Linked DNA regions of Kluyveromyces lactis. The protein of the gene in region 2 interacts with the protein of the main gene of each other region in a pairwise test. Links are inferred from orthologs where the notes say so. Each region holds a gene or a part of one and is shown on either strand. Other genes may lie near its edges.

Region 1 (2,797 bases), on a different chromosome or scaffold from region 2:
AGGAAGAGCTCCTTTGCAGTTATTGGACGTCGAATTCGGACAAGAGGTCGATGTCACGGTCTATAAAAAGTTGGAAGAGCCTTACGTTCCACCTAAGAGAAAAGTGAGTGGCTTCCAAGGAACAGGTAAGAGATTGGGCTCACCCATTCCTGGTGATGCAGTAAACTCTCAATCAGCATCGCCTGCCGAATCTACTCCAGTAGGGACTGAAATCAAAGAAAAATCGCCAGATGACGAGCTAAAGGGAGACACTAGTGTACAGATCAGATATGCTTCTGGGAAGAGGGAGGTGTTACGTTGTAACTCTACAGATACCATCAGATTCTTGTACCAGCATGTTAAAGCTAACACAGCAGAAATGCGCCCATTTACACTAAGCCATGCATTTCCCGTAAAACCCATTGACGAATTTGACTCCACTTTGAAAGATCAAGACCTATGCAATGCAGTGGTGGTCCAAAGATGGGTATAAATCTTAAATATAGTATAATTTTACAAAGATTATTACATATGTACAAGTTTAAATATACGGAGACAACCTAAATCCTTATATTTTCAGGATAGAGTTGTTTATGCAGTCGATGATTATTCCAACGATTTGAGAGATCGAAGTATCAGTAAAGCTTGAGATCACCAGTAATTTGGTCAAGGACTGCTTTCGGAGCAGGTCCCAAACCTAAAACAGTAGCACTTCCCGCTGCAATTTGTGTTCTACCAGCATCATGAACAACGTATGAGTTAACTCCTAATGCAATAGCCTTAGCGAAGAGCTCATCCATTGTTTCCTTATCTGGACATTTTAAAGTAATCTTTGCTTGACCTCTTGCCAACCATCTGTGAGTCATCTCCGGATTATATGAAGTTCTACTTGGATCACACGCAATAAGCCTAAAACAGGCTAATGCAGCATGACAACATTGAGCAGCGATTTTCCCTTTAGTCATTCCCAAATCTTGCCTGATAACCAAGGCCATCCTTACTTCACCAGGAATGTCATTTAGGCATATGGAATCTACTGCAATGCCATCTTCATCTTCATCTTCATCCTCAGATTCGTCTTCATCCTCGTCCTCATCACCATCGTCATGTTCACTGGCATACGCTTGCTCATCTCGCTCAGCCTTAATCTTCGCTTGTTTCAACAATTCTTGTATCTCATCCTTCCTTGATGGTGTTATCTGTCCAAGATAATATCCAGTTGTCAGAGATAATGCTGACAGCGTGAACAACACTGCTAAATTCAACGATGATGGTGCCATCTGGATAGCAGTTATGGTTTGATGTAGCTGTAGTGATAGTGTCAGTTTCCTCTGCTTTAATATGCTCTGCCAGTGATCTCCTTGTCATCACTTGGAATATATCGGTTTAATGTAAAATTTTCCTAAAGAAAAGATTATATGCAACTGCTGGATAGAAACGTATGAAGTAGGACGTCTGCTGGTACTTTAGACCACCAGATTCCTACTCCTACCTTTCGTATATTTATCCAGTGGCATTAATCCATTCATATGTGCATCCATGGTACACTTAAAGCTACCTTTTTACAATTCTATAACAAGTCTAATGTGAATACACGATAGAATACATACTGTGAACGAAACGGGAAAGGTTCAGGTTCAACTATTAGTGGATATGACATATACAGCGCTAGTCTTGAGTGCCAACTTTCTCAGCCCAAATTTGCTCTGCTTGTAGAATAGTATTGTGGTTAGCTTTCATTTTGTTCATTGTTTCTACGTACTCATCATATGGGTCAGAATCAAATATGATACCACCACCAGCTTGCAAATAGGCTATACCGTCTTTATAAACCATTGTTCTCAAGGCAATGCATGTGTCCATGGATTTTCCGTCATATGACCAGTGTCCAACGGCACCAGCGTAAACACCCCGTTTTTCACCTTCCAGTTCTCCGATCAATTCCATGGCCTTGACCTTAGGAGCACCAGAAACTGTTCCTGCAGGGAAAATAGACCTTAGAGCATCAAATCTGTTTTGATCCTTCCTTAGTGTACCACTGACTTGAGAGACAAGATGTTGGACGTGAGAGAACTTTTGCACTGAAAGTAACTCATCCACGGAAGTGGTGGTTGGATCACAGACCCTGTTCACATCATTACGGGCTAGATCAACTAACATCACATGTTCTGCTCTGTCCTTAGTAGAATTTCTCAACTCTTCCGCTAATCTGTCATCTTCTTCTGGAGTCTGACCCCTTCTGACTGTACCAGCAATGGGATGAGTGATAACTTCGTTTTTGGCATCAACTTGGCATAACAATTCAGGTGAAGCACCAATGATTTGGAAATCCAAATAATCGATATAGAATAAGTATGGCGAGGGATTCACAGTACGCAAGTGTTTGTAGATATTGAATGGGTGAAGTGAAGTTGGTCTAGCGACACGTTGAGATGGAACACATTGGATGATATCACCCTTCTTGATATGTTCTTTCAAATCTCTCACGTGCTGTTCGTATCCTTCTTGACCAATGTTTGATGTGAAAGTCTGGTTCAATTTGATTGATGGTTGTTCAGGTAATGGTATCGGACTAGATTCATCCTTCAAGATGGCGATAATGCGTTTGATAATCTCAGATGCATCTTCGTAACCTTGTTCCAAAGATGAGACCGTCTTCACATTGATATTAGTTATGATCTGGAACCTTTGGAAAACATGATCAAATGCAACAATGGTATCGTATAGCATCAAAGCAGATTCTGGTACTTGTAGCACATCTTTCAATGGTCTCTTCGTCTTTGGTTCAAAATACTGAACACAGTCGTAAGAAACATAA
Region 2 (3,334 bases):
CCTCTAGATATGTCTCTTGTTCATCTTTTCCATAATGATAAGTTTATATTTACGGGCATGAATTAGATCTTTAAAGATGGAAACTGAACAACATTGTTAAATGAAAAGCTTGGCCAAAGATAATTAACGGTTGACCAAAAGCTCTGTGAAAAACGATGGATACTAATAATACGTTAAATATATGTACATTCAATACAATATAGTATAATATACAGATTGTTATACACATATGTCAGGTCAGTGAGAAGAGTTTAAGTCAGAAGGATGAGCTGAAGGGTTGTTCTGGTGCAATGATGAAGAAGAACTAGCGACTTGAGGCGGCGGCGTATTGGGCCACATGACACCTGGAATCTGCTGGTGAGAGTTGTTACTATTAAGTGAGTTTTGTTGTGAATGTATCTGTTGGTGCTGGTGTTGCAATTGCAGTTGGTGTTGGAGCTGCAGCTGGAGTTGGAGTTGATGCTGAAGCTGTTGCTCATGTTCTTGTCGCAGTGGGACATCCACCGAACCCCAGAACGACGAGAGCATGGGTAATTTAGCCGTCTGCATTGGATCAGGCGACTGTGGAGGTGATTTGCAACGTGAGAGCTTGTTCAAGGCGTCGATAAGTTCTCTATCTCGTTTCGATACTGGATCTGAATTCGAGCTTGAATTAGAACTCGAATTTGCGCTATCCGCTGTGCCCCGTTTCATTATACGGTGCGGAGCAGCATAGTGAGCCTGCCCGTTATGAAACTGTTGCTGCTGTTGAAGCAGCAAAGAAGTAGCCATAGCTATAGTTGGGGAAGAGGCAGACGACGATGAGTGGTCCATCCCGTAGTGCTGTGACGAGCTACGTGAGCGGCGCGTCCCACTACCAGTAGCATTAACAGCCCCATTACTGATTCCAAGGTTCTTAGACCCCTTCTTGCGCCCACTGCCGGGCTTCCGCCCTTCTGCCAAAGTCTTGGCTCGTCCAGGTTTACGTCCACTCCCAGGTTTCCGTCCATCACTCAGTTTTTTTGCCATTTCTTTCCGTTTCCGTACACACCTGGTATTCACCTGATATCCACCTGATATCTCTTACAAGATATTCACAGCTGAACCTGTCTGACTAACCCTCACTCCAGCTTCTCAAACTTAATCTAATTCCTTGCCTTGGTGTTGATCTCTGTGTTTCGTTTCGAAGCTTTTCGTTTCGATTTGAAATTAAATTTTTGGTGAAGCTGCGTCACGTGATTAAAACAAATCAGTTTTATACATGGCTGCAATACATGTAATACCTTCAAATCTATTGTTTCCGGCCGAAAAACCCCCATTTCAAGCGATTAACAGGTGCTAGTATCTACAAATATAAACTACTATAAAGTATCTTACCCAGGCTTATCAATAATGGCCCTTTACTTGCCATTCCTTCCCATTTTGAGTTCTCGTTTTCTCTGTCTTCACTTTTCGATCTTAATAAAATGATTTCAAAAGGAAATTTCAACTCAATTCCTTGTTAACTGACAACTTAAAGATACAGAAAAGCCAATGTTTGGTTGTAAACTTCAGGTTGTACCTTTGAAGACCGATCACTTTCTAAGTACTTAGTACCTTTCCCCCCTGTTTTGGCTGCTAGATATTAGCGAGAGTTTTTCAGTGTTAAAAATGTCACAGATTAGCGTTCATGTCAAGTCTGGACAGAACAATTGGACGGTTGAAATCGAAAGTGCTGCTACAATTCGTGCATTTAAGGAGACTATCAGTGGTGTAAGTGGTGTTCCTGCCGATAACCAGCGTTTGATTTATTCCGGGAAGATTTTGAAAGATACAGAGACCGTTGAATCTTACAAAATCCAGGATGGCCATTCTGTGCATATGGTGAAGTCTGGTGGTGCATCCGCTGCGACAACCGGCAGTACAACAACTGGCAGTGCAGCATCACCAGCTGCAACTAACTCAGCAGCTCCTTCCAACATTTCTGCTGGTCAGACTGGTGGATTTAACCCATTGGCTGATTTGACTGGTGCCCGTTATGCAGGTCTCGCCAATTTGCCCTCAGCTGATATGTTTGGTCCAGACGGTGGCCTGAACAGCAGTAACGGCGCCAATCCCGAATCCATGCTACAAATGTTAGAGAACCCCATCTTCCAATCTCAAATGAATGAAATGTTGAGTAATCCACAAATGGTCGACTTCTTGATCCAACAGAACCCCCAATTACAGGCTTTGGGTCCGAGAGCAAGAGATATGTTACAGAGCCCCTTCTTTAGACAAATGATGACAGACCCTCAGATGATTAGACAGTCAATGCAAATGGCCAACTCGATGGGTATGTCTCCAGATGGTGCCGCTTCTGCATTTCCTGCGCCAGGTAGTGCTAGTGGGGCTGGTGGGGCTAATGAAACTAGTACAAATGATGCCGATAGTGCAGCAACAGGTGCTGCAGCATCTTCAACAGGCCAAGCTAACCCATTTGCAGGTTTATTCGGTGCGACTCCAGGAAATGCCGCAGCAGCTAATCCCTTCGCTGGATTATTCCCAGGTGGTCAACAACCTCAGTTCAACCAAGAGCTTTTAGCTAGTATGTTCGGTGGGAACTCCAACGCCACCGGTGCTGCTCCAGCTGTAGATAACAGACCACCGGAAGAACGTTACGAGTCTCAACTCAGACAACTAAACGATATGGGATTCTTTGATTTCGATAGAAATGTTGCTGCTCTAAGACGTGCCGGAGGATCTGTCCAGGGTGCTCTTGACGCATTGTTGAACGGCGACGTGTAATGGTTTCCTTTGTATCCACTCCCCTCTAGGCCTTTGCTCCTGATGTGACCCATATCGCTTCGTATGCAATTGTATATCTATCATCATCTCAGTTATGTACTATTTGTATATTTAAAGCCTTCGGCATCACCATTTAGTGATAATCCTTTTCAACCGTGAGATTCTGCCTTGCATTGACTCATCAGGGATCTCGATCAGAGTATCATAGAGTAAGTCGAGAATAGTATCCTGATCATAATGTGAACTCCATTTAGGATGTCCGTTGAAATCGGAATTACACAGCACTTGCTTCACATCAACTGTTAAGTACGATCCAACACATTGTAAGATCCCAAAATCTGTTTCAGATTGACCATCAACGGGAGCGTATCCTCTAAGTAGCACATACAAAAGAGCAATATCCGAACTTTGTAAAGATTGATATCCAAACCATCCACAAAGCAGTTTGATCTTCTCTGGGAGCGGAAACCCCAGCTGCCATGACTTAAATCTATCAGATAACCCAGAATACCGCGCCCATTGGATCTTAATCCTCTCAATCTCATAAATGACACTGCTCTTATTCACATAGTATACAATGTCCAACGGA

The links.
Region 1: the proteins of DSK2 (region 2) and PTH2 interact in binary tests that used the Saccharomyces cerevisiae proteins (3 or more experiments, as listed by UniProt). The link is inferred for Kluyveromyces lactis from reciprocal best matches to the Saccharomyces cerevisiae genes DSK2 and PTH2.

The regions. Positions count from the first base shown.
Region 1 is NC_006041.1:1,781,726-1,784,522, reverse strand, and holds PTH2 (aminoacyl-tRNA hydrolase), read right to left. Parts: upstream 1,260-2,797; coding exon 615-1,259; downstream 1-614. Other genes in the region: protein phosphatase regulator SHP1, read left to right, coding at 1-472; anthranilate synthase TRP2, read right to left, coding at 1,648-2,797. UniProt on the Saccharomyces cerevisiae protein: The natural substrate for this enzyme may be peptidyl-tRNAs which drop off the ribosome during protein synthesis.
Region 2 is NC_006040.1:159,999-163,332, forward strand, and holds DSK2 (ubiquitin domain-containing protein DSK2), read left to right. Parts: upstream 1-1,629; coding exon 1,630-2,745; downstream 2,746-3,334. Other genes in the region: DAT1 (Dat1p), read right to left, coding at 238-1,008; KLLA0_D01881g (uncharacterized protein), read right to left, coding at 2,872-3,334. UniProt on the Saccharomyces cerevisiae protein: Involved, with RAD23 in spindle pole body duplication. Involved in the ubiquitin-proteasome proteolytic pathway.